Linked DNA regions of Arabidopsis thaliana. The protein of the gene in region 3 interacts with the protein of the main gene of each other region in a pairwise test. Each region holds a gene or a part of one and is shown on either strand. Other genes may lie near its edges. The genes, in order: RFI2, AT4G23860 and ZFP8.

Region 1 (3,757 bases), 2.0 Mb from region 3:
ATGTGGGAACCAATCTCTCTCCCATGCATGAATTTGATCGGTTTCTGGTTCATGGTGTCCACCTGGATAAATGAAGAATCCAACGTTCTGATCTGGCATTGGTGGGGGAGGTGGCGGCGGCGGTAATCCCCTTCTTGTCATGGAGATGAGAGGTGATGCGAGAGTGGGACCATTGGCATGATGTTGTTGCCTCTGATGATTATAAGCATGATGCTGTTCACGCATTTGGGTGCTGCTTCCTTGGTAACTGTTAATTGCTGGTGAGGACCTTTGATTAGACCTACAATGCCCAATTCCAAAAGAATATTGTAAAACACTCTGCAAGAAGTTGAGAGCAATAGGGAGTTTGAGAAGCTAACCGGTGACTAAAAAGAAATGGATGCGCATAAGGTAGGCCTCGTGCTGCTGAAGAGTCAACTTCACCATCAACCACATGAGCAGCGGGTAGTGAAAACGATGGGGAATGGTGATGATACTGGGGGGCAACAGGAAGCTGGTGAAAGTGATCGTTAGAGTGGCTGTTCCAGGGATGATCATCTGTGCTGTTATTGTCGCTAGTTCTCGGGGTAGCGGCTGGGCCAGGTCCAACATATGCAAGATACGAATGATTCACAGCAGCGGCGTGATGTCCATGGAACTCAGTATGATCTAAGGAAGAAATATGGGTTTTGACATTATAAACGGATTGCTAGACAAAATGAAATGATTATATACAGAACAATCAGCGTCTAACTTACATGTAGTGGTTGCAGGTTCCAGTTCCCTGAAACACAGAGCAAAAGTCAATTCTAGCTTTCGCGTTTGAAGGATCAAAAGCCTTAGAAAAGAGAGATAATAGCAAAAACCATGGTAAAGGTGTTGTAGGCTTACTCGAAAGAAGCTGCTGCTTGAGAGAGTTCACCAAACGGGCACCAATGGACCCGATATTGCTGCAAACCCCGTAAAAATGTCAGGATAAGCGATCTCTCATAAGGAGGTTATATGATAAAAGCACAGTTCTCATGTACACGAAAAGAAAGCATATCGTTGCACAAAGTAGTGAGCTTTTACCATTTCCGGATAGCTTAAACCGTACAAGTCTTCTTCAGGGATCCAATCTTCCATGGAAAACTCTGGAAAGGGGCGAGTAGAACCGTTTGCATACAACCACTGACCCTTTTCGACATTGCGACAGTTAGGGCATTGCATGGCTCCTTTCATGTTAAATGCTGATCCAATGCAATCTGCAAGAAACCAAAAAACAAGCTGCTAAAGGGAAAGCCGAAAATAGCAACAAATTCAGCAGCCAGATAATAGAACTAGCAAGCCTCATTCTATATCTACACAAGAGAAGAAACCGATTCACAAGTTACGACACACATTTGTCAGAACTCGATCATTTCTAGGATCAACCAACTGCAGAGTCGTGGCAATCTAAGCTTGTAAACAAAGCAAGGGATTAGGAATCCATCTATATTCTCAAATTCATTCAATTATCGTCCAAATCTACCATCAGATAATTGCACAAAAGCTTGTACAAGCAAAAAGCCATCGGATCATCAAACTGTGATGGAGGGAACGCAAAATGGTAAGAGATGGAGGAAGGGAATGAAATACCCAAATGGAACTGGTGACCACATTGGAGCTTAGCCTTGGATCTGGTACCATCATCGAGCACCGATTCGAGGCAAATCGAGCACGAGACTTCGACAGGAGACGAGGAATCCTCCGGGTTCCCGCGTTTTCCAGGGTCACATCCACCAGCAATTCGGAGATCATCATCGCAACCCGAATCTTTAGCTCCGGCCATATCTTCACCAGCAGGCCAAATCGGAGGGAACCAACGAAAATTTTCGTTTTTCGAAAGAACAAAAAAAAAGAAAAGAAAGGATTGTCAAACAAAAATCAATGAGAAACCATGTCTCGCTATCGCTATCTGTCTCTCCGAGTTCGTCTGCCTTTTGGAACGCCGATGCGGTAAATCTATCCTTCCTCTTCCTCTCTCTCTCTCTCTCTCTCTCGTCCGACCTGTTAGAGATGACGTGGTTCAAAACCGGACAATGACATTGGACTCTCCCTTTTCTTTTCTTTCCTCTCCCATTGTGGATAATTTTTTATTATTATTTTATTACTTTAGTTTTGGATAGATGATCATCAAACCATCCATCCATCTGAACCAACAACCAAACTATAAATTTGTTCATTTAAATCATTAATCTCTATTTAGTTGATTTGTTTTCTTCTCTAGTCTCTTTCATATGAAGTTTATTATAACTTTCACATCCATTTTGTTATGAGAAAGATTAGCATATTATAACACACGAATATTGATTGTCTAAGGATACCAAAACATTGTATGTAGTAAACAATTACACATATAGATGCAAATGTATATTGTCTTGAATCGTTGTTTCACATCAAGCTAATATTATTTCACTTTATTCTTCTGAATTAGAAGACTATGCAGAGACTTTGCTTTGACCGAGTAGCCTTCCCTTAGGTTTCAGACCTTGATCTTAGGCTTCTTCACGATCATCACCGAGCAATGAGCATGATGAGCGCAGTAGTCACTCGTACTCCCGAGAACCGCCCTGCCACACAAACCGACAAGTGAATCAGAATGGGTGTATAGTTGAAAGATTGATCATAAGAATTAAGGCTGAATGAAATAATACCTCTTGATAGCTCCATATCCATGGCTTCCCACAACAAGAATAGAAGCATGATGCTTATCTACAACTTCACATAGGATATTCCTTGCATCACCTTCGAAAACTTCGATCACCGCGCCATGAACCTACACAACAAACCTAGGAATGATGATTGAAAAGAAGAAGATAGTTGCTAACCAAAGATAGATAGTTACTATAAGAAAAACCAGTGCTACTTAGCTTGAAGCTCTTAAATGTGCTAGAGATTCACATTCACATTACCAAACTCATCTAATAGAGTCCAATACAACACATGATGACGATTATAAAATCCAAGAAACACATAAAACGAATTTGAATGTTTGATAATAGCAAGATCGTACCGATCTGCTCTGACAAATTGCTTTGGCTTTCTCGACAACCTTAGCAGCGGTATGCTTCAGATCAGCATCAACATAAGGTACAACCTCCGCAGTTCCTAAAACACACAGATTAACAAAACCTAAATGATCTCTCCCCATCGCTGCCCAAAACAGAACCCCTAGAAGAGTAGATTCGAGAGTGAAAGCAAAGAGCGTACCGGGACCAGCGAGACCAACGGCGGAGACGGCGTTAGGTTTGGCGTGGACGATGAAGAGCTTAAAAGGATAATTGGGAGCGTAAGGAGCGAAGAAACGATCGAGCGTCCACTCCAAGGCGTAAGTGCTCTGCTCGCTGTCGTCAACTCCGACGACCATCACCGATTTCCCATCTCCGGTGGCCATGACTCTGACGTTGTTCGCCGGCGTGAAGAAAACGCGCTCTTGTGTTTGTGGTAGAAAGAAGCCTAGAAGAATCCTCCAAAGTGTTTGCACAGAAAAAGAGAGTTTTGGTATCTTCTTCTTCTATTATTTAATTTCTTTAAATAAAAAGAAAAGAGGAATGTGATACTTTGATTTGATGACGTGGCTGGTCCTCATTTCTTTATGCCTTTCCATTAGTAAATTTCCCAATATTTAAAGTTACCCACAGATTTTAAATAAGAAGAACCCACAGATTTTACACAAAATTTATTCTAATTTGAATATTACCCATAAAACAAAGTACATAAAAGGATTTTGCAGGTTAACAGTTATTAGCTTTTTAGT
Region 2 (3,757 bases), on a different chromosome or scaffold from region 3:
CCGTTCTCAGGCTGGCCAGGTTCTGAGTCACTGATCGTCTCAGAACATTTTCCTACAACAGATTTCTCAGCATCAGTACCGTTCTCTGGCTGGCCGGGTTCAGAATCCATGTGGTTTTTGTCTAACTCAATTGTCTCTGAACAAGCATTAGCAGAACCAGTGGAATCTACTTTAGCAACAACCCACAAGTTCTCAGGATAAAGTGTCAGAAACGAACATGCTGGGGAGCAGTTTTGACAAATGAAATCTTCATAGATCGGCTCACTTTCCTCATCCCTTGGAATCTGTTAACATCACATAACAAATTGCACTAAGCGCCAACAACAAAAAAAATCAATCGTAAACAACAAGATTAAGCACTGGCCACAAACCTGGCTACCAACACTGTCTGAAGGTGTGAGACCGAGATGCTCCTCATGAAACCAATCCTCACAGAGACAACACTGAATCATCTCTACTTGTTCTTCCACATTTGGGTCAGGGTAAGGTCGGTCGCAAGTGCAGTACAAGCCTTTGAAATTATGGTTGTAAGAATTTTCAGAGTTTTCTATATCTTTGCTCGGGAGAAGCTTACAAGCCAAAGTTCCAAACTTTGAGTTCCCGCAATCACATCGAAAATTTCTCTTAGTCCACAGCTCCAAAAGCTTCATAACCAGAACAATGTTCAACCATTAGGAAACCAATTAACACTATGAAATCAGATTTCAAAATACATAACCTGGCTATATATCAACCATATTTACCTCATGGCCATCATGACAAGATAAGCAACAAGCAGTGCAAATTCCAGCATTCCCCTCTGGTGTACATGTAATGCATGAGAAAATTGCTTGCCTTTTCATGTAACCCTTTGGGAAAGTACACTCATCTCCTTCATCTCCACCCAACACCAAATCCGCTGCCTTAACATCAAGAATCACAAAAGCAGTTAATGAATATTAAACCCCTAAACCCAAATAACATAGGATTACAGAAACAGATACACACTACTGAAATTAATAGAAACTAATTAAGAGACACACACTATCATTACTAGCTAGCCAAAACCTCAGAGACTGTACAATAACAATCCAACACACTCCACTAGCTTCAGAAAAGGTAGTCAATTTAAGGTCAGAATCCAATTTCAAGACGTTTGTTTACACTTAAATCTAAACGATTTATCACCAACCAAGGAGTGAAAATGTGGAAGAGTATTAAACTTTCGTAAGGATCAGAAACATACATAAGCTTTAAAACTGATCAAGAGGAGAAAGAGAACATTACCAGCTCTTCTGCGTCAAGCCTTTCGATATATTCATTGATCGTTATAGTTCCTTCAGCTTCATCCTCGAAAACACCAGATGCCATTGTCGCAATTATTCTTCACAAATTCCCACCTGAATTCACTACTAAAAACATGAAATTGGGTAAAATAAAAGCTATTCGAAAGACTCAAACGAGATATTCCCTAAATTCCTTAAAAAAAATGAAACCCTAGATTATTCGCAAAACATCAAACATGTCAATCGGACCATTACCAGGTTATTGATGGAGTTCTCAGACTTGTAAAAGCCCTAAAGCTTTTCACTTTTCAAGACATAGATAAACGAAGGCAGAGAGAGAGAGAAATTGGGGAAAACGAAGGTGGAGCTTAAGGGTTTGGAAGAAAGAAGGATCTAGCGGATGTTAAAATTCTTAAATGCGAGAAAATTTATGTATGTTATATAAAGGAAGGGACTTTATCGACATTTTCCCGCCATTAACCCTCCAATTCTATTACCCTTTTCCCTCCACTATCAGCAACTAAGCATAAGCACAAGATAAGTATTGTTACTTGATAATGTACATGTTAATATTAATTTGTATCGAGATTAAACGGATATCAAAATCTCAAATTCTTGCTTATATGGTTTTTTATGAATTGAAAATTTATATTTATTTTTTTGTTTTGATAACTAATGTTTAACAAATATCATATCTGTGTGCAACTAGTCAAATCTATCCACAAACACACATACTAATAGAGTAATAAGCATATTTTTAATTATCGTAGATTAATTGATAACCTCTAAAAAAAAAATTAAATTGGGGGATAAAATATTGATAAAATCTAAAGTTATTTAAATCAAAATCACACACTTTTTGTTTTGTTTCTTGACATCTTAATTATAAAATCTAAATATTGGCTAATATAAATTTCAATTTGGATAATATGACTTTATTGGGCCTAATATGATGATACGTATACGGCCCAATAAGAGGTTGAATATGACTTTGACTTTTTCAGGTTTATGGTCAGTGAGTAGCAACCAATCGCAGTCGTAGTTGAAAGTCTCTATTAACTTCTTCTCCGATCTGAGAAAACGCGTCAGAAGTTTCTCGTTCTACAGATAGAGAGAGAAGAGAACGAGAACGAAGTAGAGAGAGAGAGAGAGAGATCATGTCGCAGCAGAAGAAATACATCTTCCAAGTTGAAGAAGGCAAAGAAGGTAGCGATGGAAGACCATCAGTTGGTCCAGTGTACCGGAGTATCTTTGCCAAGGACGGATTTCCCGACCCGATCGAAGGAATGGATAGTTGTTGGGATGTTTTCCGGTGAGATTTCTCGTTTAACCGATCGGAGTTTGTGTTGCATGAGCCTCGTTTCCGATTCTTGCTGAGATTTTGATCCTTGATCTGTTGACTGATCATGGAATTTGTTCTGACTTGCGTTTTTTGCTCTTTATGGATTCTCAAGTAGTAAGAATCGTATAGTTTAATTTCGTCTAGTGTTTATCTGGATTTGATTCATGTTTGTTTAAGTTTTTCGGATCGCAAGATCTACCTAAGTTGCTCTAATCGATAGAAATATAATTTGTTGGTTAATGATTTTGCCATTTGTCTATAATAACATCGTTTTGAGTGGCATGTGATTAATTAACAGTTGCATGAATTTGGTTGACATTTTTTGTTTTGCTTTGTGTGTGGTTTGGTGATATTTTGTGGTTGTTGACTTACATTTTTCTACTGTTATTGTTTATTGCAGCATGTCTGTTGAGAAGTATCCAAACAATCCAATGCTGGGACGCCGCGAGATTGTAGATGGAAAGGTGTTGTTACTGTTTGTTATTGATTTTGATTTTGTGATTTTCGTTTCATGTTATTATAAAATTCACTTGTTATTTTGATTGTTCTTAGCCGGGTAAGTATGTCTGGCAAACATACCAAGAAGTCTACGACATTGTCATGAAACTTGGAAATTCTCTCAGAAGTGTTGGAGTTAAGGACGTAAGATCCATCTTTTTCCTTTCAGATATCTATATTCAGTCTCATTATTTCCTTTTTTTGTCGCAATGTGATTATTCCCTTGCTTAATCTTGTGTTTCCTGATATGTGGGATATTAGGAAGCAAAATGTGGTATCTATGGTGCAAATTCTCCTGAGTGGATTATCAGCATGGAGGTAATTTTGCGGCTGAATCATGATTATGTCATTGATTGTGTTTTGTTAGAGGACTGACAGTGCACTTTTGATGTAGGCTTGTAATGCACATGGACTCTATTGTGTACCGTTATATGATACACTAGGTATGCCTTTTTTAGTATTTCCCAATATACTCTAGAAGGATAAATTCGCCAATAGATTTCCAGTGAGCTTCTACAAATCTTTTAGCTAGCTTATTTGTCATTTTTGTTGCGTGTCAATTTTATAGGTGCTGATGCTGTGGAATTCATCATTTCCCATTCAGAGGTTTCAATTGTCTTTGTGGAAGAGAAGAAGATCTCTGAGGTACAGT
Region 3 (3,757 bases):
GTCCGATATTAAGCATTCTCATCAATTTCCCTTAAATATTTTTCTAAAATATTAGAGGAATACAAAAAAACATTCTCATTAACTATATAATTTTAATAACAGTTAAAACTTTCATATTTGCATGCCAAGGCTCTCTGATGAGTTTAAATGTTAAATCGCATGTGTAGGTTTAAACAGAGTTTATTGTTTGTGGAAAAATAAAAGAGACGTGGACTCGTCATGTGAAGTCCAAAATCTGCAAAATTATGTATGTAAATTAATGTACTTTGGGACCAGCATTCGTATGGACATTATTACCATAGTTGAATTTACTTCCCTTTCTTACAATAAGCTTTTGATTACTCATATATACCTCACACATGTTATGTGAATCGGTAAATTCATACTATATGTGAGGAAGTCACTTACAACAGTTGGATTTTAAAGGGAATCCGTCTGAAAAAAATTTGGAGAAAAAAAGAAATTGTTTTGCTTACATAATTTAATTTAAAAATTATAAATAACAATACTTTTATAAGAGAATAGTTTATCTGTTGACCAAAAAAAAAGGAATAGTTTATCTATCCACAAATGGATGATCCATATTGGAGTATATAGAACGATAAGAGATGATTCGATACGTACTAAATGAAAACTTTGAATACTGTGTATAGTAAGCAATCAGCATTAGTTTACAAGATCTTAGTTTTCGTAGGATTAGTTTAGACTGTTTAGTAATTTGATTCCAACCATTGTACAGGAGAAAATTTTTACCGCTCAAAACAACTAACTGAACGTCATACTTAATTGGGAATTTGGGAGTCGTCAAAGAAATGAAAAAGGTCAGATTAATTTATGGATTAATGAGTTTTATAGTCCTTATTCCAGCTTGACATTAGCAACATATACATTATTTGTGTGACATAATCAGGGAATATATATAATCAAAATTAATGGGATTTAAAATTTAATTATTCTTACAAAATATCAAAAAATTTAGTGTAGACGAACAAAAAGAGAATACATATATATATATAGTTCATTTGAAGAAGACGTGTATATGATCGATCCGAGTTGATAAGTATTAACAGATTACATACATATTGATAAGATGATGTGATCTCATCGATTAAGGTTCAATCTTTTAAATTGGTTAACTATCTGGTGATGACATGTCAACTAGTCGATTATGAGCATCATTAATGATCATGAACATGGACCACCTCTCTCTCTCTGTAAGATTATCTTTGCATCAAAGAGACAAAACATCCAAGAGACTAAAAGTATGGTCCTTGAGAGAGAAGAAGTCTCTTTAATTAGGTCTTTCTATTTCTCTCTCTCTCTATTAGTAGTAAAATCCATGTACTTATACGTAGACATAATAACCAAATAGGTCCGTGATGTTAAAGAGTACACACCTAACTTCACCTTGCTAATGATCTCTTACCTACAAACTCTCACTGTTTTTAGTTCATCTCATTACTCACTGTGACCCCATTTCATCTGCTTACGACCAATTTGGTAAGCTTTTTGTCTTAGTTTCAACATTTGCAGGAATCACTTTAAGAAACAACTAACTAAAAAGGAGATAACTTTGAAAAAGGAGGATTGATGGGTTTGTTTTTGATGAGATGGATATTTGTATATGTATGTCTAATGAGAGATATATTGCGTAGGGGAAGTGAATGTAGATTAGAGGTCTCCCTATATATTGATTGATTTTATCCGGCTATTTTTACCTACCGCGACACACGGTATAGATTCATAGTAAGCTACAATTTAAACACAAGATAAATCTGTAATCATATAGTATAGTACTATGCTTCCATATATACCCCATATTTACGTCTCCTATGCTTCCATACGCTAATTAGTTTTTTTTTTTTTCCAACCATAATTGCAGGTTTATATAAACATGAACTAACGAAAAAAATAAAATATAAACATGCACCATGGAGTCAATTTTAAAATTCTATGAGGTTTGATTTTCAAAAGGAAAAATCTAATATACTAATGAAAAAATTGAGATCATAAAAAAACTAATGAAGAAGTAGATTTATTTATTTTGAAAAATATGTACAAGTGAAATGTGGATCATTCTTTAGCTATATATATATAGGTGGATAAACGTAAAATCACGCACGCGGCCATGCTGCAGGGGTTAAATAGCAATTATGTATTTACCTTAAAAAGAATTTGGGAACCTCTCTTTAAATTAATGCAAAACCTCATCTCTTGTCTTTCTGTCTCTGAAACAGTCAACCTCATTCTTCTCAAACTCACTCTCCCTGATCTCTCTCTTCCATGGACGAAACCAACGGACGAAGAGAAACTCACGATTTCATGAACGTCAACGTTGAATCCTTCTCTCAGCTTCCTTTCATCCGCCGTACTCCTCCCAAAGAAAAAGCCGCCATTATTCGTCTCTTCGGCCAAGAGCTCGTCGGTGATAACTCCGACAACTTATCCGCAGAACCTTCTGATCATCAAACCACTACCAAGAACGATGAGAGCTCTGAGAATATCAAGGACAAAGACAAAGAAAAAGATAAGGACAAAGACAAAGATAACAACAACAACAGGAGATTCGAGTGTCACTACTGCTTCAGAAACTTCCCAACTTCTCAAGCCCTAGGTGGACATCAAAACGCTCACAAACGTGAACGTCAACACGCCAAACGCGGTTCCATGACATCATACCTTCATCATCATCAGCCTCATGACCCTCACCACATCTACGGCTTCCTCAACAACCACCACCACCGTCACTATCCGTCTTGGACGACGGAAGCTAGATCATACTACGGCGGAGGGGGACATCAAACGCCGTCGTACTACTCAAGGAATACTCTTGCTCCTCCTTCTTCTAACCCACCGACAATCAACGGAAGTCCTTTAGGTTTGTGGCGTGTACCGCCTTCCACGTCAACAAATACTATTCAAGGCGTTTACTCATCTTCACCAGCTTCAGCGTTTAGGTCGCATGAGCAAGAGACTAATAAGGAGCCTAATAACTGGCCGTACAGATTGATGAAACCCAATGTGCAAGATCATGTGAGTCTCGATCTTCATCTCTGACTTCTTTTATTTTATTTTTTTATCATCCATCATTGCTGTGATATATGAGACTCGCTGATCGGTGAAGCCAATTCTTTTGAGAGTGTTGGAGACTGAAAAAAAGAAAAAGAAAACGAGAACCGGTTTGGTGTGTAGATCATCTTGAACCTTTTTGAGGTTTTCACATTCTGAGTTTATATTAATAAAGGGAATAATATTTTGGTTAATTAGTAAAATTCGTTCATCCGTTTAATTTCCTCTCACGTGTGTGTGAATGTGAATGATATAATTATCGTTTTTTTTGTTTGATTTCATCTGTTCATTTGTGAGTTCTGTTATGGCTTCCTTCAAGACTCTCTATAACTTTCAGAGAAAGAGGAACATTAATTTAAGGGCCATGGAAGTCACACGTACTTTCTCTCTGTTGTTGCAGTCGAGATATTTAAAGTCTTAACCATTAAAAACCCCAGAAGACTCTTTAGATACAAAATGCTTAGGGTCTCTGTCTAATTAAAACGGTCTTTTACCGAATCAAGAGGCAACGAAGGATGGGTAAATGCAGATGTTGATGATGATTCGGTGACTGTGGGGATCACTGAAGACAATGGACAAGACAAAAGGGGAGAGAGAGAGAGAGAGTTGAGAAGTGAAAGTGGTCCATGATTACAAGTGTAGAGTTAGCCAAAGATAGAGCTTTCACATCTTTCTCAACACACAGAAC

Evidence for each region.
Region 1: the proteins of ZFP8 (region 3) and RFI2 interact in a two-hybrid assay, tested with the Arabidopsis thaliana proteins (one large-scale study listed by BioGRID).
Region 2: the proteins of ZFP8 (region 3) and AT4G23860 interact in a two-hybrid assay, tested with the Arabidopsis thaliana proteins (one large-scale study listed by BioGRID).

What each region holds. Positions count from the first base shown.
Region 1 is NC_003071.7:19,552,563-19,556,319, forward strand, and holds the start of RFI2 (RING/U-box superfamily protein), read right to left. Parts: upstream 2,086-3,757; 5' UTR 1,790-2,085; coding exon 1,597-1,789; intron 1,224-1,596; coding exon 1,051-1,223; intron 930-1,050; coding exon 871-929; intron 764-870; coding exon 738-763; intron 649-737; coding exon 360-648; coding exon of another isoform or gene 281-359; coding exon 1-280. Other genes in the region: AT2G47710 (Adenine nucleotide alpha hydrolases-like superfamily protein), read right to left, coding at 2,483-2,570, 2,655-2,776, 3,014-3,108, 3,211-3,394. UniProt on the Arabidopsis thaliana protein: Mediates phytochrome (phyA and phyB)-controlled seedling deetiolation responses such as hypocotyl elongation in response to red and far-red light. Required for light-induced expression of LHCB3 and CHALCONE SYNTHASE (CHS).
Region 2 is NC_003075.7:12,406,929-12,410,685, reverse strand, and holds the start of AT4G23860 (PHD finger protein-like protein), read right to left. Parts: upstream 1,680-3,757; 5' UTR 1,521-1,679; intron 1,392-1,520; exon of another isoform or gene 1,389-1,391; 5' UTR 1,351-1,388; coding exon 1,267-1,350; intron 1,153-1,266; exon of another isoform or gene 903-1,152; coding exon 744-902; intron 645-743; coding exon 372-644; intron 285-371; coding exon 1-284. Other genes in the region: LACS4 (AMP-dependent synthetase and ligase family protein), read left to right, coding at 2,423-2,577, 3,008-3,071, 3,160-3,249, 3,367-3,423, 3,500-3,548, 3,674-3,750.
Region 3 is NC_003071.7:17,505,273-17,509,029, forward strand, and holds ZFP8 (zinc finger protein 8), read left to right. Parts: upstream 1-2,070; 5' UTR 2,071-2,283; coding exon 2,284-3,057; 3' UTR 3,058-3,344; downstream 3,345-3,757. UniProt on the Arabidopsis thaliana protein: Probable transcription factor required for the initiation of inflorescence trichomes in response to gibberellin and cytokinin. Is not involved in the regulation of trichome branching. Is functionally equivalent to GIS2.